4 linked regions of the Diceros bicornis minor genome follow. The protein of the gene in region 1 interacts with the protein of each later gene in a pairwise test. Links are inferred from orthologs where the notes say so. Each region holds a gene or a part of one and is shown in the gene's direction. Other genes may lie near its edges. The genes, in order: CRK, PPFIBP2, DPPA4 and PTPN4.

Region 1 (7,522 bases):
ACCATCCTGTGGGAAGTCCAGTGCCCTCCAGGAGCTATCTGCCAATTGTAGGAAGCTAACTTTGGCTCTGGACGAGAGCCTCCACCTGACTCCAATTCATTATTCATTCCTTCATTCGACCAATATGTACTTACTGCCTACTGTGTGGGAGGCTCTCTGCCAGGCACTTGGGATATAGAAGGAACAAAAAAGACCAAAATCCTTGCTTTTATGGAGCTTATATTCTAGAGAGGAAGAGAAGACAAGACAGAAAACAAATATGTAAAATATGTACTAGATTAGAAGGAGATAAGAACTAGGAAAATAAATAAAGCAGAGACACAGGGAGGGGGAGAGGGAGAAGTGGGTGTGCAGTTTGCAGTTTCAAATGGGCTGGTGAGGGAGGGCCTCCCTGCGGGGCAGCACTGGGGCAGAGACCTGAAGCAGGGGAGCCAGCGACCATGGATATCCAGCAGAGGGAACAGCAAGTGCAAAGCGTGGGGGATTTTTAGAGAAAAGGTCAGTGGGCCAGAGAGGAGTAAGCAGAGAGAGAAGAGGAGAAGAAAAGATGGGTGCATTTGCATCTCACCTCCTTCAGATGTTCTTGATTTTCTCAGCTCCACGAGGATGGGGACAAGGAAGTTGGCACATTCTTCTGGACTCCTCCCCACAAAAGGCATCTGTGTGAGCAGCTTTCCTAAAAGATGGGGGTATGAGGGAGATTTACATTGCTGCAAGGCAGATAACTCACTCTCAACAGTCCTACGGACTGTTGCCATTGGGAGCATCTCACTGCCCTTTCTGGGAAGGTCTGGCCTCTTGCTTTGGTTCCCAGCACGCTTTGCTCCCGAAGGCCCTCCTTGAGTCCCCTCATATTTCTCCCCAGAGGTTTCCCCTAGTGTCTGCCTCCAGATCTTATCTTTGCACTTTTTTTTTTTTTTTGGTGAGGAAGATCGGCCCTGAGCTAACATCTGCCAATCCTCCTCTTTTTGCTGAGGAAGACTGGCCGTGGGCTAACATCCATGCCCATCTTCCTCTACTTTATATGGGATGCCACCACAGCATGGCTCGACAAGCAGTGCATAGGTGCGCGCCCAGGATCCAAACCAGCGAACCCTGGGCTGTTGCAGTGGAGCGCGAGCACTTAACTGCTTGTGCCACCGGGCCGGCCCCCTCTTTGCACATTTAAAGACTGGTCCTTGTCACTGCAAAACTAAGGGCTACCCACTGGCAGGTGGGGCATCTCTCTTTGTCATAGTCCAGAAAATCCAGCAGACTTGGAATTTCTCTGTCTCCTTTCTCTCTCCTTGTCTCCACATATTTTGATATAAATTGTGCCTACCTTTTCTCTTTCTCTCTCACACACACTTTGGAAGGTGATACTGTCAGTTTTCTCTCTAAATAGCAATTTTTGTCATCTTGATACAAATAATCTTTCTGTTTGCTTTTTTTTTTTAAGGAAAAGTGGATATAAGTAGCCCAACTCCAGAGGGTTCCATTTACATAGTACCCTGGCGTTGTGCAATGCACGACCTGTCTGCATAGCTGTATGAGGCAGCTCTGGTCACTTTAGGCGACATGCAGCAGGCAGGCAAGCAGGTCATTGACCCCTGCTCCTCCTCCATTGCTAAAATAAAGAATGCCTTTCTTTGGTTAGGAGGGTAGGAAGTGGAGGACTTTGGTGCGGTTTTTCTCTTGCGCAGGGCAGCCTTTCCTTTCTTTTCCCCTTTTGCCCCTGCTTCTCCTTCAGGTCCCTTTCCCCGACCCCTCCCACATACACCCCCCAGCACCAGGACCCCTTCCTAAGCAAGGTCACATTCTTTGTAGGGCAGATCTTGGGCTTATCAGGGGGCAAAAGCCACCATTATAGCTGCAAATCCTGGTGTATGAAGAGGAGAGGAGGAGGAGGAGGAGAGAAAGCAGGGAGGGGCAAGCTGGGCTGGCCTTCTGCTTGTCCCAGGGCCACTCCTGTTCCTACCTGTTGGCTCCAAGGAAGAACACACTCAATAGTTCTCTGCTTGGGGCTGAATCTCCTCTCTTTGCCAATCTCCTTGCTTATTTTCCAGTTACAATTTGTTCTCCTCTTCCCCCCTCCCTCCCTCCCTCTTTCTTTCTCTCTCTCCCTCCCTCCCTTCCTTTCCTTTCTTTCTTTCTCTCTCTCTCTTCCTTCCTTCCTTCCTTCGTTTCCTTTGTTCCTTTCCTTTCTTTCTCTCTCTCTCCCTCCCTCCCTTCCTTCCTTCCTTCCTTCCCTCCCTCTTTCTTTCTCTTTCTTCTTCCTTTCCTTCCTCCTTCCTTCTTTCTCTCTCTTTTTCTTCTTCTTTTAAAGTATTCTTTTCTGTCATGTCCATGTGCCCTAGGGAGGGGACTTAGAGGCATGGTTTCAGAACCCCACAGGCAGTCTCTGGGTATGGTCCTGTCTGAAAGCCCGGCCGTCCTGGGAAAATGAAGACCAAGCACTTCTCTTTCCCAAAGGGCCGGAATTCACACTGGGGTGGTTTCTGCTGCTGGCTTGTGGTGACATGCTGTGACTAAGCCAGGGTCACGATGAGTCACCCATATCAGGGAAGGTGCCCTTGCTCCCCTCCCCTTCCCAGAGCAGGCTCGGAGGGGTGTGAAGTAGGTCCGGAAGAGGTGTGTCATTCACGTAAGACCAGAACCCAGGGCTGACTGATTTTTTTTTAATGTCTATTCCTACCATCCTCCCTCCACCTCCTACCCTCTACCAGAGGTCTGAGGATATAGCAGAGTGACCATAGCTCCCTTCTCCTTCCAGGATTTGAATCCCAGCTCCCCACTTAGCAGTCGTGTGTCTCTGGACAAGTTACTTAACCTCTCTGAGCGTCATCTGTATAATGGAGATAGTTGTAAAATACCAACTCATAAGGTTGTTGAGGGGATTAAATGAGATCATCCATATAAAGGCAGTTAGCACTATGCCTGGCAGATAGTATTCCTTGAATAAATGTAAGCTATTATTATGAAACATATATGGAGTGCCTTCTGTACTAGATGCTTGGCCTTTGAGGAGCTCTAGCATGGGACACAGACCTGTAAATGATTACAGTACAACCAGTAAGAAATGGAGATAATATGGATGTACTGCTATTGATGCAAAGAGGGAGAGATGTGGTGATTGGGAAAGCGGAGGCATTTGAGTTTCGAGATCCCAAAAGGAGTGGACAGGCATTCCAGGAAGAAGAGACACAAGGTTACTGTGGGAGAAGTGAAGATGGGACCGTGGCTCAGTTTTATGCTGTGAGCTAAACCGGGAGTTGTTGTTGTTGGTTTTTTTTGGTGATGAAGATTTGCCCTGAGCTAACACCCGCGCCAATCTTCCTCTATTTTTTGTATGTGAGATGCCTCCACAGCATGGCTGATGAGTGGAGTATGTCCATGCCCAGGATCTGAACCCGCGAACCTGGGGCTGCCGAAGCAGAGTGTATGGAACTTTAACCACTAGGCCACGAGGCTGGTCCTAAACCGAGAGTTTTAACATCTGGAGACTGTTAAAAGTTTTACACAGGGTAGCCACAGACTCAGAGTTGTAATTTAGAAAGTTCACACTGGCAGATGTGCAATGCAATTAGGGGCAGCAAGACTATAGAGCACCAGTGAGCAGGTTGTTCACAGGAATACAGATATAGGTATGGGATACAGAGATAGAGATGATTATGATGGCAAGGAGTGTAGAGCACACCCATGGCCACAATTACGGTTTAGAAGAATCTGGGCAGATGACTTGAGAGCCTCAGTAGAGCCTCCATACTTCTGGCTTGGCATACTCTGTTCCCTTTGTCTTGAATGCCCTTCCCCACTTGCCGTTCAACATTCAGCTCAAGCCACCTCCTGTGGGAAGCCCTCTTGGATCGCTCTACAGGCTGGATTAGGGGGCCCTGCTCTGTGTTCCTGGAGTCCCTAGTCCGTTCCCTGTCATAGCACTTGGCATTCCTTTGTCTTTGGCTGTTTCCTGGTTCCTCCCACTGGTCTGAGAAGGCGGTGAGGGAAGGATCCAGCCTTGATCACCTTTGCACCCGCAGGGCAAATGTGGTGTCAGTAACTGTTTGCTGAATGAATCAATGAAAACAAGAACTTGAGCCGGCCTGGGGAGAAGCTGGAGGAATCATCAGAAAAAAGACCGTCTCAGGGAGCTCGGGCCCTGAGGCCATGTCATCTTTGCTACTCTAATTCTGTGTCGGAGTCGCTGCCTAGAAGTTCTGGGCCTTCCAGGATCTCGAAGCCTGGCGGAGCTAAGAACCGCGTGGGCAACCGGGCGAATACAAACCTCCGCGGACTGCCGGCTGAGGCCCCGCCTCTCGGCCCTGGACTCCACCTCTCCATCCTCTGCAGTCCCAGTCCCTGCCAGGCGGCGACGCCCATGAGGCCGCATGCGCAGTGAGAAAGCAAGCGGTCCCTCGCCCTTCTCCCAATGGCGGGCGGCGGTCCCCTTCCCGGCGTCCTCCCGGGGGCAGGGAGCGCGTCATTTCCGGTGGGGAAGGCCCGCGGCCGCCGCCGCCATTTCGGGCGCTGCTGTGAGGCTGAGAGCGGAGCCGGTCCGCTGGGCGGCGGGCGCCGGGGCTGGAGGGGCGCGCGGGGCGGCGGCGGCCCAACGTGTAGGCGCGGAGGCGGCCATGGCGGGCAACTTCGACTCAGAGGAGCGGAGTAGCTGGTACTGGGGACGGTTGAGCCGGCAGGAGGCGGTGGCGCTGTTGCAGGGCCAGCGGCACGGGGTGTTCCTGGTGCGGGACTCGAGCACCAGCCCCGGGGACTATGTGCTCAGCGTCTCGGAGAACTCGCGCGTCTCCCACTACATCATTAACAGCAGCGGCCCGCGCCCACCGGTGCCGCCGTCGCCCGCCCAGCCTCCGCCCGGTGAGGGACGGACGGGACGGGAGGCCCCGGGCGGGGGTGAGGGCCGCGGAACTCCCCAGCCTGGCCGGCTGCTCCTCGCGAGCTGACCCTCACGAGGGACGTGGGCAGAGGGCTGGAGTGACCATGGCAGGGGGCAGCCTGCTGCCGGGGCTCATTCCCACCGACGAGCGGGAGTGCGTGGGGGAGGAGGAGCCGCTGACCCAGGCCTTCTCTGGGTGTGACTTGGGAGGACAGCCCAGGGGAAGGGGAACTGCCTCGGTCCCAGGGTGGGGCTAGCGCCTGGGCCAGGCACAAGGGCAGAGCCGGGCAACGTGGGGACAAAGAACTGAGGGGGATGTTGGCACTGCGGGGGCATCGCTTGGCAGCGGTGCCCAGAATGAGTCCGATAATCTTGCAAGTGGCTTTTTAGGCTTGAAACATTTCCTGCAGTGTTGGAGAGCCGGGTTTGGCTATACTCCCCTGGTGGCCTTTGGTAGGAAGTCACCACATACTGGCCCGGAGGGATGGAGACACCTTCAGGAAACCGGTCAGCTTTTTCCTTTCTTGGGCATTTTTCCAAAATACTTTTACCGTCCTCTTCCCCCGCGGAGGACGAAGGTGGTGAGCTGAGTGCCTTGGTGATAGAAGAAAGCCCTCCACGACCAGCCCACAGTAAGGTGACGCCCAGCTGACCGTGTCACAGAGATTTTAGTGTCCAGAGACTGTCCTCCACAATTAGGGGGTTGTAGTTTTCAGAGTGTTTAACGGAGGAAAGATTTTTTTCAGGAAATAAACCAGAAATAAGGCAGTGGAAACAATCCCTTCCCTGGCAGGGAATGGAACTTCATTTTTCCTTGGACTTAAACATTGTCAGTCTTCTACTTTAGGGCGTCTCCGTGCTCAGTAAGTTGGGGCTGTGGCCTGAGTCTTGCTAGGTATTGGGAACAGACCCCACCAAGCTGATTCTCTGAGAATTTAAATTATCTGCACTGGATGTTTCTTGCCAAGCATCATTGAGGTATGACTCTCTTACCCATGCCGTTGGAGGTGTTTGGGAAATGTTAAGGAGATTTTTGCACATAGTACTTGAGATTTGTGAGGGACACGGTAATTCTGAGGTTGTCGTTACCTGTCTAACAGCACAGGAGTTCTGGTGTCTTCTCACTGTTCCCGGGTTGAAGCAGTTTCCTCCTCACCAGCCCAGTCTAGATCCAAGCCAATCTCGTGTGAATTAGGAGGCTTCTGAGCCAGCCTTTGCAGACATGCCCTTTTAGCATAGTCCTAATTTAGGTTTATTCACTCTGGCCAGAAATGGGGGGACAGGATAATCAGTCTCTTTGTTGTTAACCCTTGCCAATTTTTAAAAAGAATGTGGGATCTTTAGTCCACAAATTGTCCTAGGTCTTTCTCAGTCTGGTAGGTTTAATAGCATTATGACAGGAGATGATAATATTGATGTAACATATATTTGCCCTAAACCAGATATTTTCTGCTGTTTACAACCTGCACAGTATCTAGGGTTTTGCATTATAGTTTAGTGACATGATGGCAAACTGTCACCGAAGCTCAGTTCTCAACCTTCTGTATGTGTATGTGTTCTGTTGGTTGCAAAATTTGGAAATGGCAGTAGGCAGGTTTGTTTGAGCTTTCTCCACATGTTGGCATTATGACTTTATATCGCAGCACTTACTTTGGTATTGAGCTCCACCTTTTCATAGCAGATATGAGTTCAGATCCTTGGCCCAAGAGAGAAGGTGAAGATTGCCAAAGTTTGTGGATGGGGTGTGGAAAGTTCATGGGCATTGTGGTAATTCTTTGTGCTGTGTACCCTATTTTTCACATAGGATCCAGTTGCTGTCTTTATCAAGATAACTTAATCTTTATTCTACCCCTCCTACATGAAGCTCTTTTCCTTTTGAAATCACACAGAGGACTTTCTTGAATTTTAGAAAGGCATATACAATATTAATAGCTAACATTTATTGACTGGTTATTCTGTGCCAGGTACTTTGCTGAGTGCTTTATGTGCCTTATCTCATTTACTGTCTGTAACAATCTAGTGAGGAAAGTACTATGATCTCCATTTATTAAAATATTTCCATTTTATAGATGAGGAAAGTGAGAGAGATTCAGTAACTTGCCCAAGGTCACACAACTAGTAAATGACAGAGCCAGAATTTGAACCTAGGAATTCTGACCTGAGTGCTGACACTGTTACACTGTACTCTTTTCTGTCAAAGCCAGTTTCCTTTTGAGATCTCAGCAGTGCACATGGAGGACTCAGTGCTTTTGTCTGTGTCCTAGGGTCTCAGGTTCTATTTAAAGACCAAAAGGAAAGGATCACAAGAAGAAACTGGCTTTAGTGTTCAGACAATACACATCTGCTATCTAAAAGTCAATGATGAAGAGGCTTTTAAAATCTTTATTTGGCAAATGGAATATGGAAAATGAGCTTTTTGCTTAGGATTATATAGTATATTTTGTGGACATAATACCTATGTAAAATATGTATGGAGTGGCCTAGATGTAGTTTTTAGAGTCATAGGAATGGAATAGACCAGGTATTCTCAACCTTTTCCAGTGAACCTATTTGAACTTACCTTAGGTGTTCAGGTCCTACAGGCTACCGATGCTGCCGCAGCCTGGGACTATCCTAGCTGTGCCCCAGGGCCATAGGGCAGGGTTTGGTCAAGTG
Region 2 (7,386 bases), on another chromosome or scaffold:
GTTTACTTCTTCATTGGGTCCAGAAGCAACACTGTTTGGGAATTTGCAAACATGCGGGCATTCGTGGAGGATGGCACCAAGCCAGGCCCCCGGAAGCTAATCCTAACACGTTCCTGGCAGGGAACAGGCCAAGTGATCTACAAGGGTTTTCTATTTTTTCACAACCGAGGGACTCCCAACGAGATAATCAAATATAATCTGCAGAAGAGGACTGTGGAAGATCGAATGTTGCTCCCAGGAGGGGCAGGCCGAGCGCTGGTCTACCAGCACTCTCCCTCAACTTACATTGACCTGGCTGTGGATGAGCATGGGCTCTGGGCCATCCACTCAGGGCCAGGCATCCAAAGCCATTTGGTTCTCACAAAAATTGAGCCTGGCACACTGGGAGTGGAACATTCATGGGACACTCCATGCAGAAGCCAGGATGCTGAAGCCTCATTCCTCTTGTGTGGGGTTCTCTATGTGGTCTATAGTTCTGGTGGCCACGGCCCCCATCGCATCAACTGTGTCTATGATCCGCTGGGCACTATCAGTGACAACGATCTGCCCAACTTGTTCTTCCCTAGGCGGCCAAGAAGTCACTCCATGATCCATTACAACCCCAGAGATAAGCAGCTCTATGCCTGGAATGATGGAAACCAGATCATTTACAAACTCCAGACAAAGAGAAAGCAGCCTCCGGAGTAATGCCCTACAGCCGAGATGGAGAGCACCATGGCTATGGATGCTGCTTTCCAGGACAATGAGGCCACAGCCCTTTTGCAATATAGTATCCCTCCAGTCACATACAGGGATAGGGTCCAGAAGTGGGAATGCATATGCCTCCTTTCCCAGATGTTATTGGCCTTAGGGATCTTCCAAAAGCTTAGTTGAGAGTTTGTCATTCAGAAATTTTTCAACAGCTTCCATTAGCCATCCAAACCTTCTGGCTCTCAAGGCCTTCCACATTCTGATCCTGCTTACGTCCAGCCTTTTCTTTTACAAGCATTTACTCTAACTCCCCCCGCCTCAGCAATTAGTAATATAGACCACCCACTAATACTCCTGGCTTTTGTCTCCTCTGGCCTTTTTGCTGAAGCTCTTTCTTCTTTCACAAATGCTTATTGATATTCTTCCATTTTTCACTGCCCAACTAAAGTACTACTTCTTATTGATGTTTAATTTCCATTTCCCCTAGCTTTGCCCCTCCACCAGGCTAGGTAGATATAATAATAAAGTAAAAACATTAACATTTGAATACCATTTTCCAGTTACAAAGTGTTTGCACTTATGTCACATCATTTAATTCTCATCTCATCCTTGTGATATGCAGAACAAGTCTTTATAATTCCCATTTAAAGATGAGGAGAGTTTAGATGAGCCGTTCAAAGTAACACAGCTACAAAATGAAAGACAGAGCTAGAAAATACTGCAAAGTCCTTAGTCTTTCCATTGCCCAAGGAAGCATCAAATATGTATATTTCTTTGTCCAACCTTTTATAAGCAATATGTTCATTATTTCAGCCTCAAAATAATGATATACCCCTTCAGCCTGTTTTCGTGTCTGCACAAGACTTTCCTAAAGGCTTTTCAAAAGGTACTTACTCCAGACAACCAGCCTAAGGGTGAGGACCCACCTCCAGCCTCATCTTGGCTTACCTTCCCCTGCTTCTCTCTTCTTCCCTGAAATACAATAAAACTGACACTCAGCAAATAAACCTCATGAGGTTATATTTGCCTGCATACCCTCAGCATCAGAGTTTCAGGGAGGGCTGCCTGTGCTTGGGTTTACTGCGAACCAACCCCAAGACGCAGAGGCCCTTGGTAAATGTTGTGGAATCTGGATGGAAGCCAGGTAGCAGGCAAGTGACTCCCTGTCACAGCAGGCGTACCATGTGGCACAGGGGACAGAGGACAGCTGTGCCTATCCAGAGGGGCTTCTTCAAAATCTTTCCCACGCATCCGTCCAATCAGCCTGTTTGGGTCACAAGTGCAGGCTGTGGTGCCACTCTGTGTCATGTGCCAAGGCCTCTGTCCTTCCAGGTTGGTCACATGAGAGAGTTTGCTTTGTGCCTTTGCAGCTGTTTTCGTGACTCTGCCAAGCCCAGGCTGGGACTGTAGGCAGTGAAGAGAGTTCATTTGTTTTTTCCCCAGGGCATTTGAGTAGATCTTTGGCAGAATAAAATTACTCACCGCATGGATACAGCACAATTACCCACAGTTCCAATAAAGTGATACGGAAAGCCCAAGTCCGTTGTGGAAGGAGGCAGTTCTGAATAAACAAACATGATGATATTACCCACTCCATGGGTTTCGGGACATTACCCGCCCCATGGGTACAATAGCATTACCTATTTCACAGGGAAAAGGAATGTGGGCTGCCTCACAGAGGAAGGTAGTGTGGCATTATCAGCGAGTGGAATTATGCGCAGGTCCTGCACACAAAGTTCCTCTGGAGGCATGGAGGAGAGGTTGCCTGTGACGTGCTGACTGCCTCTCGTCTCTGGTATGCTTTCATTTGACAGTTCTGCAGGGCGTACCTGCCACTAACAACCTGGTGCCTTAAATTCCTGCAGCTAGAATCACTCTTTTACGTCAAGACGTTTTCTCCAGGAAGCCCAGTTAATGTGCCACTTTGTTTCCCGGGAGCTAGGGCTGGATAGCATGCAGGCCGGTGAACACTGCCTTGTGCGTCTTTCCGGTGAACTTTTCAGCTTGATGGATTTCAGGGAGGGTCGAAGTTCTTAAACTTTACTGCACATAAGCATTACCTGAGGAGTATTTAAAAATCCTAAAGCAAGGCCACCCCCCAGACCATTAAATCGGAACCTCTGGAGGTGAGACCCAGACAGTATTTTTTAAGTCCTCTCCCCCAACATCGTTCCAAAGTGTGAATAAGCTTGAAACCCAGACACTTGCACCACTTCTTAAAGTAATTTTAAAAAGTAATTGTATAGTTCTAAGCACAGATTGGGGGCTGGGGTCAGGGCGGTGGGTTCACTGGGACACCAACATGTGGGATTTGGAAACACCCATGAACTCGTGTGAACTGTGGCAGCTCAGTCTACAAAGGCCTCTCTGCTGCTATTTTAAGGAAGCGAAAGAGAACTGAAAGGTGTCCTGTTGTAACACAACTCTTGTGGGCCCCAGCCTTCCTCTGCTGGCTTTGCCCTAGGTCTGCTTCTGGCCAGGTTCCTGCAGTGACCAGAGTCTCATATTTGCCAGGGTGGCTTAAGTTTTGTTCACATGTAAAAGTCTTCTGGGCACACTGGTAATGTCAGAGCACCAGAGTAATTTGAAAGATGTGTCTTGTGGAGTTTGTCAACACTCCAGCCTGTAGAAACATAGATAAAAACTGAGGCCAGGGCAGCTCCTGCCAGAGCTGGGGACTTGCCAGAGTCCCTGCTGTCGATGCCATCTGAGGCCCACAGGGATTTTAATCAGCTGAACTGAGCAACTAGTCTTTGGAGGCCCAGGCAGGGCAACAACCTAGCAGTACAACCAAAGGGGATTCAGGCGGTACACTAGGGGAAGGCGTTGGACTAGGTCCCCAGGGCCCAGTCCTACACTGATTCTAGAATCCATTCCTGTGGTCAGACATCACGAACGCTTTTCTTGGGCCTATGGAACCCCGCCTTGGTGCTGGGCACAGGGAAGTGCTTCTCGTCCTGGACTGTTCACAAGAACCGGCTCCAGTGTCTTTGGTCGGCGCTGACCGCTAGAGGGACCTCCACCCCAGGTCTCGGGGTTCGAGTGACCGGACCCTAGGGTGACTCAGCCTTCCAAACTGCGCGGGGGGGGGGGGGTGCTGGTGCTCAGAGACAAGGGATGAGGATGCCCTCAGGCCCGCCTCCATTTGGACGGGATCGCACGGGTCCGGAAGTCCGGACACCTTCGGGTTGCTGCGCTGGGTGTGCCTCTAAAACGTTTTTTCTATGGCGTCTCTCTTTCTCTTCCTAATTCTCGACACAAGTTCCCTTTCTGCTTCCTCGCTTCCATGCCCTGCGGCCGAAGAGCGGTTAGCGAAGGGCTGGAGAAGCCCACGCGACTGGGAGCTGGAAGCGCCCGGCGACCTCCCCGGGGCCGGAAGAGTGCAGGAGCGGGGCTCCAGGGAGGGGCGTGGCCTCCCAAAAGAGGCGGGGCTTGGGGGACTCCCACGATGGTCCAGGGGTCGGGGGCGGGGGCGGAGCTGGGGCCGGGCGGGGGCTGAAGCAGGTTCGAAGAGGCGGGATTGTCGAGGCCGGTCGCTACCGGCCGCAACGGTACCCGAGGGGGAGGGGGAGAGGCAGAGGGGCGGTCAGAGGGGGTGGGGGAGCGGGAGCTCCGGGACGAGCCTCCCGCGGGTCCCCGCCCCCGTCACGTGGGCTCCAGACCCTGCCGCTGCCGGTCGGTGCGCTGGTTGGTGGGTCAGTTGGTCGGTGGGTCAGTGGCCTGCAGCTCGGTTCTCGGCTCTCATATACGGAGGTGGGAGGGACACAAGAGCGGCCCGCACACCTGAGCCGCGCGGAGAGGAGCCCCGCACCCAGGTCAGTGGGCTGTCCCCACACCCCCAGGCCCGCTGCGCGGTCCGAACTGGGAGCCCGCGCAGGGGCATTGCTTGGGGAACAGAGAGCTCCGAGATCCAAGAACCACTCGGAGCGTGGGGGTCAGTGCCGGTGTGGGCGCCAGAGCGTGTCCCAGCCTCGAGGACGGGGGCCGTTCTCCCCTTCTCTGGCCAGAAGATGGGAGGAGGGTATAACTCCTGCGGATTTGCTCCGAGTCTCCGCCCACCCCTGCCTGGGATCTACGGACAGTCCGCGCTCCTACAGGTGCCAGGATGGCCCTGGAGATGCGCAGGGTGGTCGGTCACCTCAGTTCTGTGCGGTATGACAGAGCTCTGTTTAGTCAGCTGGAGCAGCCGCGTAATCTGGAGAGCCCAAGGCGGTCGGGAAATTTACGGTCTATTTGCCCAAGCAAATCCGTTCGGCAGAGCGTGTGTCCAGGTGCAGCGCCTTGGCTGAGACCGACTCTGTTGTCATTGCAAAAACGCAGCATGCTTTTCAAACTCGCAGGCCACTGCGTCCCAGTAGACTGCAAGTGGGGATGGCCCTGTTTGAAAGTGGGCTCCTCCTCTGCCTCAGGACGTCCCTACGCCAGACCAGCGGTTCTTCCTCAGATGAAAATAATATATTTAAAGACCAAAACTTCCAACTTTGGGTAGGATTGAAAGGGGCATTCCAGCAAGTGTTTAATCCTCTTACAAAACAAATTATAGTTTTACTTTTAGAGCAGCTGGATATTTGGTATAGATCCGTCTCCCTTTCCATATTTTGGTCTACTTCCTGTCTTTCTCTTCATCTCTCCTTCCTCTCCCTGTTCTTTAATTGATTATAATACAAATCCAAAATGTTTCCAAATTGTATGTTGCATTTTGTGAAGTTAAATGCCCAACTACAGAAAGGTAGTTGGCTGCAGACATAATTCATCTTTAGCATGTTCAGTCTTTGATTACCAGTTGTATATGGAAAACACAAAATGTTATTTGATTTAGAGATTATTTCTCTTTTGGGTTTAAGAGAGGCAGCCCATTTGTATTCTGTTTAAATTCATATTTAAACGACTTTGAAGTGGGACATGAGGGAGACTGGTGAATTTTCATTTACTGCATTCATCCATGATTTTATTTATACATTATTATTACTTTGAGATTTGATGATGTGCCAGCTATTAGCTTATTGCTACTGAGGAGACAAACTGAGAATCGTGGTCTCTTCTTTACTGGGGTAGCTATGGCAGGTGCACTGCTGTTACGACTAAGTAGAATGAGACAAGTGCTATGAAGGAGGTGAGAGCAAAGAGTTGTGGGAACTCCTGTGCTTCGGAGGAAAAGCTGAGATCATTTCAAGAAGGGAGTGACGTGTGTGTGATGGATCTCAAAAGGATTTCTCCTGGGTTTCTCCAGGCAGAGATGGGTAGAGGGTGACCTGGGCTGTGGGAGCTGTGTAGGCAGGCAAGCACTGGCTAGACTAGCCGTGAGAAGTGGCAAGTGGTCTAGCTTGGCTCCTCTGGCGAGCGGTAGACAATAAAGCTGGTGACAGAGATGAAACGTGGTCGCGGCAGGCCGCGAAAGCCAGGGCCAGAAGTCTGGACTTTGAAAGCACGAGCATGGGAACCAATAATGAGTTTCAAGCAGGGGATTGGCTGATGGTTCTGTGAGTTGAAAGTCAGGGGACCTTGGCCCTTGACTCTCCCAACCCCTAGCCTGATGTGGAGAAAATCCAGTAAATGTTTGTGGAATGAACGGTCAGGCAACGCTTTAGAGCAGTGCTTCTCAACCTTTAACAAGCTTAAGAATCGCCTGAGGATCTTGTTCAAATGCAGATTCTGATTCCTAGGTCAGGAGTGGGACCTGACATTCTGCATTTCTAACAAGTTCCCCGTGGTGAGATCCCTTCGCTATCTATAGCAAGATTAAGAGCAGTAGTTTGCAAATCTAGGTATGCCTTAGACTCACCTGGGGAGCTTTTAAACTATTCTGATAAAGTAAGTCTGGGGATGTTTTTATCAAGTTCCCCCAGGTGATTCTGCTGAAGGCCGTGTGGGAACTGCTGTCATGGACTCTGGCGGTGCGGGAAGCAGGGACTGGAGGGAAAAGACACTGGGGGTGGAGAGGTCAGTTAGGACACTGGAAGGTCAATCAGGACAGAAGTGACAAGGCCTTATGTTGGGCCTGAGAGGGTGGAGCTGGTAGGAGAGACTCGAGAGAGAGAATCTACAAGCCAGAGGGCCAGGGAGTGGGCTGTTCAGTCTCTAGACTGGACGGGTTGAGAAGTGAGGAGGGAGGAACAATTCTGGGAGAATTCAGCTTTAGACAAGGAATGGCATGCCCTTTAGACTGTAACATTTGGGATAAAATTTGGAAGTTGTTTTTTACTTGGCCATTGGAAATTTTTTTTCCTGAAATACAAATTTGTTCATGACGCTCCCCTGTTTAAAATCTTCTGGTGGATCCCCTATTGCAAAATATGAGAAGGAAGAGCTAATGTGAACACAACTGATGAGACCTTTAAACATTTGTTAAGTTCCTAGACTGTGTACCCCCATTCAAGAGGTGACACTCAGGAAAAAAAAAAGTGACACTGTCATCACTTGGTGTGGGCACAACCAGGCTGAAACTTGGCAGCTGTGTGTTTTCCTGAGTCACTATTTTTCCTGCTTCCTCCTTCCTCAGAGCAGTTCCACTTTATGCTTCCTGGCATCATTCTTTGGTTTCAACACTTGATGGCACCTGTGTGTCTCAGTTTTCGCAGAATCCACAAGTAGTCTCAGACAGGTGGGCTGTATCCTTTATAGACTCTGAAAGCCAGGTCTCGTTCGATCTTGGGGATCTTCACCAGGCCGGTCTTATCTCTCACACACTTGGTAAAT
Region 3 (7,269 bases), on another chromosome or scaffold:
ATACATTAGGTGTGTCCAGTTCTAGTGTATTTTTTAAAATACCAGTCTCTCGGATATGGAGAAAGAGGTGTTCGCATGCACTGTTATAAACTTGTAAAATCATTCTGGATATGAATTGAACTATATATAAGTTTTTTTAAAAGCCCAGCTTTTGAGCCAGGACTTCTCAGAATACACAGCGCGGAGAGATCCAGACAGGTCCTCCAACCAGCCTCCACAGTTCCACTTCCCGCCAAATCTCTCCCTTCCATCAAATATGAAATGGTGGTTATGTATGACACTATCCTGTTTTGTCTTCTGTAAATGCAGATTAATGACTTTGGAAGATTCATTGCCTCCAGGTAAGCAACTGAAAGCCTCATTAACTCAGCTCATTTTATTCAATTAAAATTTTTTTTGGAAAAGAAAATACACAAAAAAATGAAGAAAAAAGAAACCGTAGGAGGAGTACTCCCCATCTCTCAAATATGTATTCTTCTTGCTAAAAACAAGACAGGCCAAAATGGAGTCACTTATGCTAAGCCCCATGTCACCAAACAGAGACTTAACTTACACTTTTGGCTCTCCCAGAAATGGAATCTTACACCAGCCATCAGGAATCGCCTGATCAGCACTAGTCAGGTCATCTGCCTGATAGACCCCTGCCACTCCCTAAAGGAAAGTCACCTTGCATAACCAACCAGCTTTTTTTGTCTAGTACAACTTCCTTCCTGCTGTCCCCCTCTGCCTATAAAAATCTTTCATTTTGTACAGCTCCTCAGAGCTCCTTTCTATCTGCTAGATTGGATGCTGCCTGATTCATGAATCATGGAATAAAGCCAATAAGATCTTTAACATTTACTCAGTTGAATTTTGTTTTTTAACACTCTCCAATGCTGTAATAATAGAAACATCTAACATTGACCCAACACGTGCTGCCCTAGACACTGTTTATTCAGGACATGGGAGAGCCCTCTTCGCTCCCCCACAACCCTCTGAGTGAGGGTTAGTGTTTTCACCACTCCCGTCTTACAGATGAGGAAAGGGAGACCTGCAGGTGTGAGACAACTTGCCTGAGGTCACACGCTGGTAACGGGGAGGCTGAGGTTTAAAGACAGTCCGTGCTGTTAGCCACAACTCTCCATTTCCGCTCCAGCTGCCAGTATCTCAGACCTAACATTGCCTCGGTAGCCTCCTAACCTACCTTCCCATGTTTACTCTGATCCGTCACCTCATCTTTCTCCTCCTTGCCGTTGAAAGATCTTTACAAAATGCTCTTCAGAATCTGCCCACCCCCACTCCCACCTTCATCCCCACCCCACCCTGAATTTTTCCATTGTTCTTAGCCTAAAGATCAAAAGGCCAACCTATCCAGACTCAGCTTACATTTTCTTCCTCCCTCTCCTAGCCCCACGCAGCCCCTTTCAGTTCCTGAACCGAGGTGGGCTGCCTCAGGAGTGCAGTCTCTCTGGGCGGATCCTTCCTCTGTTCAGTTAGTTCAGTTCACCTGGTCCTTAGACCCGCTGCTCTCCTGACTTCCTTGATGAGGTCAAAACCCCTACTGCAGGCTGTCATACATGCAGAGCTTTCCTATTTTTCAAGTGTCATAATTGAATAGTTTACATTGGTTTTGATAATACATATAAATGAATATAATGCATTTAAAAATCAAGTAAAAGAGCATTTCCTTATATTATTAGTTACTGATATGATTTGCTTAACATCTGTCCTCTCCCCCAGCTGTGAGCCCATGTGGGCCGGGTCCCTGTCTGCCATTGTCCACCTCTGTGTCTCCCAGGCAGAGCACACAGCAGACACCCAACACACTGTTGTTCAATAAATGAATAAGAGATTCAGTTATGAATATTTTTTGAACTCAGGGTAGATAGAACTTTAGGCATTGACATAACATTTTTAAAAAGCAATAAAAAGTTTTTCTTTTGACTACTAAACATTAATAAGAAACTACACATAAATTTGTGTTAGTTATTTCTCTAAAAGACACAATAAATTTACAGTTATCCCTATTTTACATTTGAGAAACCAAAGCAGAAAGGTATCGTACTTTGCCCAAGATTGCTTATAAATTATCACAACTCCCACAAGCCTGTTAGAAAGATATTTGGCTTCTTTTTGCTTCATTCAAGAGCCCAGTAGTACCGTTTCCAATTATGCTCAAATATTTTAAATTGTACTAATCCTCTTTATACATAGGACATCAACTAACCCATGTTTTTTGAATGGTTGGTGCAACTTGTTAGAACTGTGTTCCCCCAAATGGTGATGAGACTAAGAATTCTTAAATCAAATTCCAGCACACACTGGCTCTGTTTATACACGCTTTAGAGATTGTACCTTGCCTGGGATTAGATGTCTCAGTCTCAGCAACGTTACTTCCAGTTACACTGGGAAAAGGAAGATGACAACTGGTTACCAGTTGTTGTCTCTGAGCCAGAGTAAAGAACTGATCAGTCAAAGCCCCGGTGCGACCTCCCAGATGATCTACATTCTAAATACTCACTTTCGTCCTTGGTGCTCTGCGGGATGCCCAGTCCACAGGTACACTTCCTTCTCTACTCCTAGGTCCCATTTACTTACTCCCTATGTCCATGTATTTCTATCCTGCGAGCAGATTATCCCCTCCATTCTGGGTAAGGATCATTTCTTCTTCATCATTTTAGGGCAAGCAATGAGATGTAGGAAAAACAACACAGACTTTGTAATCTGACAAAGGTTTGAATCTCACAATCACTGGTTCTTAACCCAGGAAATTCCTTCCCCTCCCATCTCTAATCCTGACAGTTTGACAGGGAGGATGATCTGAGAAGGAGGGATTTTTGAAACTATTTTTGAGAGAATCTGGACCTTGTTTGGGAGTCAGTAGGTTAGGGCTCAAGGGATAGAATCGCGTCCACCTACACTTGATTTCTGGTTCTCTCACTGTGCTATTGAGCAAGTGATCAATACGATGTTATACATACTTTGGTCATCTATAAAATGGAGAACAATAAAATAATGGCTGTGAGCTTTTAAGCCTAGAATTTGGTACATAAATACTCAATAGACTTTAAAAACTACTATAATTCTTTGTTGGCAGATGGGAAGGTGCTAGTTACTATTAGCACAGATGGAACGCTGGAGTTTTAATTGGTAGAGTAACTTGCTTAAGAAATGGAATGTATATGGTACATGAAAACAGCTTTGCTTTCTTAAAGCCATCAGTCTGGTCCGGAATCCTATTGTTTCCACAAGTTCTATCATTAAATCCTTTCACCCATCCTATTCACAAGTCTCTGGAAATTTTTATTTTTCTTCTTGGAATTTCTCTGAAGGAGTTTTAAACTTTCCAATGTCACCTGAACCACACTGTACGTGATTATGTTTAAAAGCTCATAGAAAAGGGCCAGGAATGGTATTAATTCATTCATACAATAGTCGCCTTGTGAATAAGACAGTACACAAATTTAGCATTCACAAATTGTGGGGGAGGGAACAGAGGGGAGGAGAAAAAGAAGAGTTCCTTCTGGGTGGCAGGAAGTGGGAGGAGACTTTTAAAAGAGCAATCTTGGGCCAGGGGCCATTTTAGAAGTAAGCAGAACTTTCTTTTTATCAACCTTGACTTCTTTTCTGAGTATGGAGAATGCAAAAGGCAAGCAGGTAAGTACAATCTTAGTGGGTTTGTTTTCTGTCCTTGTGAGTCTCCTCATATTCCTCTCTTCCCCTGAGCACACTTGATCCTTCTTTTGAGGAGAAAAGAATGTGCCTTCAATTTCCTCCTCTTTAAAAAAAAAAAAAGTAAAGTCCTGGATATGACTGCAACCTGTTATATTGGAGCTAGGAAATAATAAGAAATGGGGTTTCCTGTTTTGGTTTTGAAGAGATGCTTTATCCCATCAGAAAGAAGAATCCAGTATCAGGGGTGTAAGGAAATGGTAACAGGGGCAAGGAGGAGGTGAGGGAAAGACTTCAGGAAGAGATATGAGCTGAGTCGGGGAAAGAACGAGATCCTTTAATTTCCCTTCAACAGACACAGATCCTAAAGCAAATGTGTTGAGTCTGAACTCATCTTCTTTTCCCAGGGTCGTTAGGGCCAAGAAATATAAGCCAGACATCTTGACAAGCACTGCAGACAGAAACAAGAGGTGGAGAGGCTTTGAGGCTTGTTCCAGAAGAACTGAACTCCCGTGCCTGGGAAACCTGAACACTCTCAGGGTCTCTTTCCTAGAACCAGGTCATTTTTGCACTCTCAATTTTAAGACTTTTGTGAGACCCAAAAGTGAGTAGTTTGTGTAAGGGCTATGTAGATGTAAAATTTGAATACGAATGTAAAACTGCAATAGAAATGTAAAAATGCCATACAAATGTTAATTTGTCCAGTACTCCCACCTTGGGGATGATGGAAAGGAATTAGGTTTGGGAGCAAGTTGATCTGGGATTTAATTCCTATCTAACGTGCCTATCTGCGCACCCTTAGTTATGTAAGGCATCAGCTTCTGCATCTGAAAAACAAATAAACTGTCACCAGATTGCTGTGCAGATTAAAGGAAAGAAAATAAGGAATGTGTCAAACAATACCTAATAGAAGAGAGAGGCTCAACAACTGTCAGATTCTCTGTACAAACAACTTTATCCCCACTGTTCTCTTGTTTCTTTTGATGCAATTAACCAACATTTATTGAGTGCCTATGATGAAAGGGAAAGAAATTCTGCCCTTGTGAAGCTTACAATCAAATGGAATAATAGGCATTGACCAAATGACACAAGCAAATGTGAAATTGCAACTGATCAGTGGTGGGAATGAGGCAAAAGGTAGTAGATTTGACTTGGTCTGTAAAAACGGGAAAGGGTTTAGAGATGAACGCTCGAAGTGAATTCTGGAGGAGGAGTAACATTTAAGAATGTAAATAGAAGTAGGGTGGGGTGGGGTGGAGCTGAGTGATACCACTTCAGGCCAAAGTAACTAGGTTGGGAAGGACAGAAATTCTTTGACTGGAGCTTGGGGCAGAGGAGAGTATTGTGAGAAGAGGCTGGTGGGTTATATGAAAGACATTTGCTTATCTTCATATCTTTACGCTAAGAACAATAAATCTTCGAATGGATGTGAAGGTCTGATAGCATCCCTCCAGCAATAGTATAGGAAACTTATGTGGAAGAGGTCAAGAGTGAAGGAATGGGGGAAAATCTTCCAGGTGAGAGAGGATGGATATCATGGGTGATGTAACGACTTCCCCCAAAGCAGACCTTATTTTCTTCTACTTCTTTTGTTTGTATCCATATTTTCTGTCTTTTTTTGTACTTTTAAATTGGTCTTCTCCCATTTCCCCATCATTGCTTCCCTATCTTATAAATGAACCTGGGCATTAAGACGACACCCAGAGAGGAATCCACACCGCCAGCGGAGTTCGCTGACTGTCTTGGTGCCTTGGATGTGAGTTATCTTGAGGCAGGTAGTGTGTGTGGTGGGTGGGACCAGAGGAATGACTGACTGGTGCCTCTAATCCCCAGTGGAATTCCAAAAAGAAATCAGGGGAAGAACATATGACTGGCAAGTCGAAACCTCAGTCGGTAGAACCCGAAGAGGAACAGCAGGCTTCTGGTGAACCAAATGCACAACAAGCCTCCATGAGGGGGACCAAACGAAAAAGATCTGTGAAGGATGACAAAGGTAAGAGGTCTACAAGTCCTCAGATCTCATTTCCTCAGGTCTAAGAGGCCTGAGGAATTTTTCTGAAGGAGTAGGAAAAGTAGGAAAGGAACGTCGTCCTCTCTTGTGCAAATCCTACAGAATTTTCTTCAAATAAAAGAAATTTCTTCGAGGCCTAGCTTAAATCTCACCTCCCTGAAGCCTTCTTTTGGTCACCCCTGTTAACACTGATTTCTTCCTGTCTCCAAATCCCACAACATTTTTGGTTCTGATCATCATTTTGCCCTCACTCACTGCATGGAGTTAAGGATCTCAAAGTGCAGTGATTTGGGGACAGACCAATGTAAGTTTGAAATCCCATCCTTGAAACTTCACTTCTTGTTCTAAAAAGTGAGGATAATACCTACCATGTTGAGTCAGAGGTCCGGTGGAAGGTGGGTTATAATTTACATAGAATAATTAGATAAAACACCTTCACTATACCTGACTAGTAATGTGGGCTCAGTAAACCCTAGCGACTACCGTGTAGTCGTCATAGTTGTGTCCTCTCTGGAGGTGTGTTCTGTAATTCTTCCTTGAATGCTGAGTGTGCGTGAGGCACAGCAGGAGACCTGTGTGCAATGAGACTGGAGTGCTGCCCTGACTCAGGTAGGCTGGCAGAATTATGGGTAATAGTGGGGTGTGTGTGGCATTGCTGGGTGGTTTATTTTGTTTTATGGTGAGAGGACAAGGCACCACTGAATATTTATGATCTCAGGTCTACAACTTCTACCATTTCCCTGGATTGGAAGTGCAATCTCTAGTGCACCCTCCTTGGAGCCTGTGGGTTACAGAGCTCACAAAGGAGCAAGTGCGTATCAGTGGTGGGGAGTTTTAGGAAGCAAAAAGTGTGCAATTCAGAAATATTAAGTCCTAGGTTTGAGGTTCTGACCTTTGGCGGTTTTGTGGTCTTGGCAAGTCATTGAACTGTACAACAGGGATTGGACTATGAGAGCTAAAAGTGACTGCACTGGTTTCATCCCATTCTCCTTCAGCTTGCTGTCCTCAAAAGATGGAACAAGACAAAGAGGATGTAAGACTTCGGAAGAGGACACCAATTCCTCCATTACCCTCTAAACTGCCACCAGCCAACATGCTTCACCGAGACACCTTGAGAGCCTGGTGCCAACAACTGAAACTGAGCACCAAAGGCCAGGTGAGGGCCGGGTTGGGAGACGATGCTGCTGGGAGAAAGGGTAGGGACCTTACTTTCATTGTTAATTCTTTTTTCTCTTTTCTCAGAAATTAGATGCATATAAGCGACTCTGTGAATATGCTTATCCCAATCAACAGGTGAGTAATTTGTAGAAAATTTGGCAGAGTGGAAGATTTAGTTCTCATCCTAATTACCTATTTTAGCATCAAACAGTAAGTAGAGGAATTGTGTCAGCCCCTCTACTTCTTCTAAGGAGGAACCACATCCCCCTGTCGTCACTTTTCACCAACTCTGAGCAAAGAGTAATACAAATAAGGCTGTCCTTCTGATAGCGCCTTCATCTTTCAAATCCTGTTTGTAGAACATTCCTGTCACAGCAAAGGAGGCCAAGATCCTGCCAGGAGCACAGAGAAAATTGATGATGGACAAGGGAGAATCGTTTCTGGAAAGT
Region 4 (7,291 bases), on another chromosome or scaffold:
TTTATGACAAACCTACAGCCAACATCATACTCAATGGGGAAAAACTGAAAGCCATTCCTCTGAGAACAGGAACAAGACAAGGCTGCCTACTTTCGCCACTCTTATTCTACATAGTACTGGAGGTTTTGGCCAGAGCAATTAGGCAAGAAAAAGGAATAAAAGGAATCCAAATAGGCAATGAAGAAGTGAAACTCTCACTATTTGCAGATGACATGATTTTATATACAGAAAAGCCTAAAGAATCCATTGGAAAACTACCAGAAATAACAACTACAGCAAAGTCGCAGGGTACAAAATCAACCTACAAAAATCAGTTGCATTTCTGTATGCTAATAATGAACTAACAGAAAGAGAGCTCAAAAAGATAATACCATTTATAACTGCATCAAAAAGAACAAAATATCTGGGAATAAATCTTACTACGGAGGTGAAAGACCTATACAATGAAAACTACAAGACATTATTGAAAGAAATTGATGATGACATAAAGAAATGGAAAGATATCCTATGCACATGGATTGGAAGAATAAACATAGTTAATATGTCTATACTACCTAAAGCAATCTACAGATTCAACATAATCCCTATGACATTCTTCAGGGAAATAGAACAAAGAATACTAAAATTCACATGGGGCAACAAAAGACCCCGAATAGCTAAAGCAATCCTAAGAAAAAAGAACAAAGCTGGAGGCATCACAATCCCTGAGTTCAAAACATACTACAAAGCAATAGTAATCAAAACAGCATGGTACTGTTACAAAAACAGACACAGATCAATGGAACAGAATTGAAAGCCCAGAAATAAAACCACACATATACGGACAGCTAATCTTCAACAAAGGAGCTAAGAACATACAATGGAGAAAGGAAAGTCTCTTCAATAAATGGTGTTGGGAAAACTGGACAGCCACATGCAAAAGAATGAAAGTAGATCGTGTGCTATGGCCATTCACAAAAATTAACCCAAAATGGATCAAAGACCTGAAGGTGAGACCTGAAACTATAAAACTCATAGAAGAAAATATAGGCAATACACTATTTGACATTGGTCATAAAGGAATCTTTTTGGATGCCATGTCTACTCAGACTAGGGAAACTAAAGAAAAAATAAGCAAGTGGGACTTCATCAGATTAAAGAGCTTCTACAAGACAAATGAAACCAGGATGAAAATGCATAGACACCCTACCAGCTGGGAGAAAATATTTGCAAACCATATATCTGACAAGGGGTTAATCTCCATAATATATAAAGAACTTGCACAACTGAACAACAAAAAAACAAACAACCTGATTAAAAAATGGGCAGAGGAAATGAACACACAGTTCTCCAAAAAAGATATACAGATGGCCAATAGGCATATGAGAAGATGTTCAACATTACTAATCATCAGGGAAATGCAAATCAAAACAACACTAAGATATCACCTCACGCCCATTAGAATGGCTATAATCACCAAGACAGAAAACAATAAATGTTGTAGAGGATGTGGAGAAACGGTAACCCTCATACACAGCTGGTGGGAATGCAAACTGGTGCAGCCTCTATGGAAAACAGTATAGAGAGTCCTCAAAAAATTAAAAATAGAAATACCCTATGATCCAGCTAACCCACTACAGGGAATCTATCCAACGAACCTGAAATCAACAATCTGAAGAGGCTTATGCACCCCTATGTTCATTGCAGCATTATTCACTATAGCCAAGAAGTGGAAGCAACCCAAGTGTCCCTCGACTGATGACTGGAGCAAAAAGATGTGGTATATATATACAATGGAATACTACTCAGCCATAAAAAAAGACAAAATCGTCCCATTTGCAACAACATGGATGGACCTGGAGGGTATTATGTTAAGCGAAATAAGCCAGAAAGAGAAAGACAAACACTGTATGATCTCACTCATATGTGGAATATAAACCAACACACGGACTGAGAAAACTGTATACTGGTTACCAGGGGCAAGGGGGTTGGGGGGTGGGCACAAGGGGTGAAGGAAGACTTGTATACGGTGATTAACAAACAATAATGTACAACCAAAAATTTCACAATGTTATAAACTATTAAGACATCAATTAAAAGAAAAAGTGACTTCACAATTTTCCTAAAGAATAGTAGATGGATACGAGGCTTCCATTCTTTATCTAAAGGGCTCATCCTGTGGAGTTTCCCAAAACAAAGAGTGTCCTCCTGCAGCCCCTCCAATGTTGAGACTCCAGCTATATTTATAAATCACACTTATACTTGTATAAAAGGTCACTGTGGTTCACTGATGCGGGTGGGAAGAATGGGCTGGAGGGGGAGGGTCTTGAGATAGCAAGATTAGTAGGAGGACTAGTTAGAAGGCTCCCCGAGGCATCAACAAGAACAAATCTGGACCAGACCAATATTACCCAGAGACACAGCAACCTCCCAGATCCTAAGCTGAGGAAGATCCTGCCCTGTCTCAAGTACCTTCCTGAAATCCCATCAGTTAGAGATTTAAGAATTTCACTCTTTCAACAAACTTTTTTGACACCAGGCAGTGTCACCAGACATTATAGGGGATACAAAGATGACTAAGACAAGGTCCTTGCCCTCAAGTAACTTACCATGTGGTAGTGGCGATAAGACCCACACAAGGATGGGTATTGTGTAACAAAATGTGCATTGTGATAAGAAAAAGGGAGGCAAAAACCTAGAACTCTCAATGTCGGAGGAAGAAATTACTTCTGGTGGAAGTCCCATGTGCTCCGTGGTTGGAGGATGTTGACAGGTGGAGATGAAGTGAAGAGCATTTTAGCGGAGGAAATAGCATGAACAAAGTCACAAAAAATGGAGAGTTAGAGGCAGGAAAGCATATTTAGGGAAGGACAAATGAGCATTGGCTGGAACTAAGCTCTGGGAATAAAAGTAAGTAGAAGGTGTAATGCAGGAAAAATATGGACTCACAAGTTGTCTTTTTAAAGTGGAAAAACTAGGGGCCGGGGCGGCCCCCTGGCATAGTGGTTAAGTGCGCACACTCCACCGCTGGCAGCCGGGGGTTCCATTCCCGGTGCACACAGAAGCACCGCTTCTCAAGCCATGCTGTGACAGCCTCCCATATAAAGTGGAGAAAGATGGGCACAGATGTTAGCCCAGGGCCAGTCTTCCTCAGCAAAAAGAGGAGGATTGGCATGGATGTTAGCTCAGGGCTGATCTTCCTCACAAAAAATAAAATAAAATAAAATGGAAAAACTAAATGGGGGTGCGAGGGAGAAGAGGATCAATAGAAATTGCTGTCTTTCACAGATGTGTATAAATTTGCAAGATTTCCTCTTGCAAAAACCACCCCTGGTTAATAAATAGGCATTTCGTTGGCTTGGAGGGACAGTGATTTTTGAAAAACGTTTGTATGAAGGCTGGCTCTGGCGGGATGCTGAAGCTAAGAGCAAGGAAGAGCAAGAAGGCGACAGGAAGGGGCACTGACACAAACGAATGCAAAAAGGATGTGTAATGGTCCCTAAATCCCTCCTTACATCATTTCAGCTGAGGTCGCCCAGCCTGTAGGCATTTGTCTTATCACCAATAAGTTTGTATCATCAATAAAATATTAGAATGCACCTGGCTAAAAACCCTGGCGTGATAACACCAAATTCATACGCGCTATTAGAATGAATTAATTCAATTTTTAAAAAGCACACACCGTCCCTGGCACACAGAAGGCACCCAAACGTTTGTTTTATAACTGAACGTTGTTTGTTCTTTGTTTTAGAGTCTATATTTAGGAGAGGAAATGATTCAAACCTGCATCCTAAAACCTACATCCTCTATTAGCACTGAAGTTGGGACGACCTGGGGCCAAGAGGTCTCGTTTTCCCCTTTTAAAACTTAGGTTTCTTGTCGCTCCGTCCGGTCCCTTAGGTCAGTAGGTCCAGCAGGGATCGCAGTTCAAGTAACCAATCGCTGAGGGGCCATGGGGCGGAGACACAGCGCTCCGCCTTCTCCTCCCAGCCCTTCCTCCCCTACCTACCCAGGTTCGGCCTCCCTCGCACCTGAGTGTCCCCCCGCGCTGGGGCTGGTGCAACCTCTCCAGTCTGCGCTAGCGGGGAAGGGGTTTGGCCTTGCGTCTCGCGAGATCGCCTCCTGTTGCTGCCGCCGCGGCTCCCGATCGCTGACTGGCGGCGTCTGCGCAGCCGCCATGTTCGGTTGCTATGCTGTGGCCTGGGAGACCGGGTGTGCTTGAGGGGGAAGGAGGAGGAGGAGGAGACGGAGGAGGAGGAGGAGGAAGAGGAGGGGGGGTGGCTTGAGCTCCTCCTGCACTCTCACATACAAACGCTGCCCGGGGTTACCCGCCCGCCCGCGCCGCGCGCTTTTCCGCTCCTTGCGGCCCCCCACATTGTTCTCTCAGGACTCCTGGGTCCCCAGGGCTGAATTAGGGGCCTGAGCCGGGGAGAGGAGAGACTTGTCTGTGGCCGAAGGGTCGAAGGTTCGGGTCCAGGCCCCCCGCCCTGGGACTTCCCTCCCCCACGGCACCTTAGGGGGTGTGAATTATCTCATCCCCGCAGGGAGGTGGGAGCGCGCGCCGGCTGCCCGCCTCCCGCCCGCCTCCCCGGCGGCGCCGGCCCGCGGCAGCCCCGCAGAATGAGGTGGTGCTGGCGGCTCGGGGCCGTGGCGCGGCCGCTGCGGCGGCGGCTGCTGAGGGGGCGCTGAGGGAACCCCCGGGAGCGGCGCGGCGGACGCGCTCCTCCCCGGCGCGCCCGGGCCTCCAGGCTTTTCTTCTCCAGCCGAGAGGACGCGGCTGAGATAGGAAGGTAAGAGGCTCCCGTGTCCCCGCCGGCCCCTCGGCCCTGCACGTTGTACGCGAGGCTGCTACCCGGGGCGTGTGTGGCTCGTGGGAGGCGAACCAGGTAAGGCAGCCGGAGGTACAAGGTTGATGTAAAAGGAAGGAAAAAATGATGCTTCCACATCGCGCCCCCCCCCTTCTTCCTGGGACCTCTGCTCTCGGAGCTCCTCTGGGTTACAGTTGGAATCTGTTATGGATGAGCGAAGGGAGAAGGGATGGCATAGGTGCGGAGATGGAATGTTCCACCGTACCTAAACTCTAGGTAAGGTTTTAGAATCTTCTGAGTTTTCCATTGCTGGTAGGATTCTTTTTTTTTTTTTATTGGCTCATATGAGCGCTTCCTGCATGCTGCACGAGCAGACTGACCCTACCGTTGAAGTTTTAAGCCTCTTATGATTCTGCCGGTATATGCTTGCTTTTAAGAATCTGTAGTTGGGCCAAAAAAAGTTGAGATGTAGCTAAATAGTCGTACCGATGCATTTCCTAGGGTTTCCTTAAAATGGAACAGTTTGCACTTGCACGGATAAATGTATAGATGTTTCTGCGAAACAGAATGGGAGACTTTATGTCTGGGGTTGCGTTATGTAGTGACACCACTATGTACAAGGACGATTTGTAGGATTTTCAAGCGCTTGTTCTAGGAGAACCTGTATATTTGCGGTGTATAAACTGTTCTTCGAATCAGAGAATGGACTAATATTAGGTTTATGTGACCAGATCTTGGGCCCAATTGAAACAGTACAGTTTAAAACCTGTTTATGGAGGGGAAAAAAACCCCAAAGCCAATGTATCCGACTTGTAGAAGACGATTTGAGTAAAAAGAAGACTGGAACAGTAAAAGCCAGCGCATTTTTTATCCTGATTTTTGAACTGTAACGTGCCAGAGAAAAAAAAATTATTTTTCGTTTTTTGAAGAGAGGAGGAGATGACCTTAAAATGATTATTCAGAGCCCAAAGTGTGCTTAATGGAATAGAGCTAGGTATATCAGTTAAATCTTGAATTTGATGAATATAAATTCAACCTATAGTTTTCTTTAAAAAAAGACTTTTTTTGTAGGCAAAAGTTTGTGTATTGTACAGAACTTCTTTACTAACTTGTGATAAAAGAGTGCTGTCATTTTGTAGACTCCACCATTTTTTGTCAGAATAAATTTATGCTCCAATTACCACAAAAGCTATTTTTATGTGTTCATTTTTTTTTTTTTATGGCACACATATCTTTGTTACTGTTTTGCATTGAAACTTCTGCATGGTCCCATAATATCATGATCTTGAGTGGTTTATAAGAAGAGAAACATGGTCTTTTTTGTACATGGGAATATTTATAATTAACCTAATGTGTTTTAAACATCTGGCAAGAGATTTTGAAAACACAAAGAGCCATCACTATTTTGTAGTTTTTATTAATATTAATTGAGTAGGTTAAAGTTTATTAAGTTAGAAAATCACAGTTCCTCAAAAGTAGTAGTGGATGAGGATGTGACTTTCATATTGCCTATTTTCTAACCTGTTTAGCTTCTGGGCTGTGAGTATTGAATTGTTTCAAACTTGTGGCTTTTTCTTATGTTCTAGTTGAATGTCTTTAAAAATGTCCCTAGTAACTTTGTTACTTTAAATTTGTGACACCCAATTTCTAATTTAGGCTAGGCATAAAACCAGCATTGATTGGACACACTTGCTAAAAATACTTTCTGGGTCAGATGTACTTAGAATGTAGCCTCAGGAAAATTCATTTGAACTATTCTACTGTGACCAATGTACACTTCATTATTATTGAAGGACTTTAAAAGATTACAGACTCTCACAAATTAGATTTCTTCAGTTCAGGCATAGAAGCCTAACTTTTTTTAATGTGTGAAGTACTTTATTTGGGACAGTAATAAAAACTTTTTTCATTGTGTTTTTTTCTTTCTTATGTGACTCCCATAAACTATTATTAAACTCTGATTTGTATATTCAAAATATTTTAGTTTTGCTATTAAACATAATTTGAGTTGTAAAGTGACAGTACGATGTGCAGTGTTATCTGTTTGGTATTTATGACCTATTCTAAACACTATAGGGGGGATCAGTGGTCATGTTTTTGAGGAACAAAGTAAGAGACTACTAGATAATTTCAAGGAGAAATTGTTATTGACTGTTATTGAGAGGGCTTTTTTTCCCCACCCTCTGAGAGTTAATATGGTCAGTTTTAAACAGTAAGAAAGCTCTAAAAAAATATATAGAATTCTTGTTTGGGAATGTTTAAAGACAAATGTTTAAAAGTTCTGTTTTAATTCTTTATGTTAATTATTAAGAATGTAAAATTGGTGCCCTGACTAGAAATGGCAAGTCTATGTCACTTAATGGGGCTAAATATGAATTGTTGCTCCTAAATAAAATTTAGTATTTGCAGAAATTCACTGGTTACAAACTGAGTTGAATTTTGTTGTTTTTCTGGGTAATAACATGCATGTTATAAAGTTTTTTATATGCTATAGTCTAGATTTG

Evidence for each region.
Region 2: the proteins of CRK (region 1) and PPFIBP2 interact in binary tests that used the Homo sapiens proteins (3 or more experiments, as listed by UniProt). The link is inferred for Diceros bicornis minor from reciprocal best matches to the Homo sapiens genes CRK and PPFIBP2.
Region 3: the proteins of CRK (region 1) and DPPA4 interact in binary tests that used the Homo sapiens proteins (3 or more experiments, as listed by UniProt). The two-hybrid records come from large-scale screens. The link is inferred for Diceros bicornis minor from reciprocal best matches to the Homo sapiens genes CRK and DPPA4.
Region 4: the proteins of CRK (region 1) and PTPN4 interact in binary tests that used the Homo sapiens proteins (3 or more experiments, as listed by UniProt). The link is inferred for Diceros bicornis minor from reciprocal best matches to the Homo sapiens genes CRK and PTPN4.

Annotation. Positions count from the first base shown.
Region 1 is NC_080757.1:16,257,021-16,264,542, forward strand, and holds the start of CRK (adapter molecule crk), read left to right. Parts: upstream 1-4,511; 5' UTR 4,512-4,607; coding exon 4,608-4,848; intron 4,849-7,522. UniProt on the Homo sapiens protein: Involved in cell branching and adhesion mediated by BCAR1-CRK-RAPGEF1 signaling and activation of RAP1.
Region 2 is NC_080746.1:66,097,233-66,104,618, forward strand, and holds the start of PPFIBP2 (liprin-beta-2), read left to right. Parts: upstream 1-4,368; 5' UTR 4,369-4,505; intron 4,506-7,386. Other genes in the region: OLFML1 (olfactomedin-like protein 1), read left to right, coding at 1-687. UniProt on the Homo sapiens protein: May regulate the disassembly of focal adhesions. Did not bind receptor-like tyrosine phosphatases type 2A.
Region 3 is NC_080754.1:12,450,642-12,457,910, reverse strand, and holds the start of DPPA4 (developmental pluripotency-associated protein 4), read left to right. Parts: upstream 1-4,261; 5' UTR 4,262-5,123; coding exon 5,124-5,168; intron 5,169-5,344; coding exon 5,345-5,407; intron 5,408-5,484; coding exon 5,485-5,644; intron 5,645-6,657; coding exon 6,658-6,818; intron 6,819-6,904; coding exon 6,905-6,955; intron 6,956-7,179; coding exon 7,180-7,269. UniProt on the Homo sapiens protein: May be involved in the maintenance of active epigenetic status of target genes. May inhibit differentiation of embryonic cells into a primitive ectoderm lineage.
Region 4 is NC_080749.1:12,914,273-12,921,563, reverse strand, and holds the start of PTPN4 (tyrosine-protein phosphatase non-receptor type 4), read left to right. Parts: upstream 1-4,276; 5' UTR 4,277-4,769; intron 4,770-7,291. UniProt on the Homo sapiens protein: Phosphatase that plays a role in immunity, learning, synaptic plasticity or cell homeostasis. Regulates neuronal cell homeostasis by protecting neurons against apoptosis.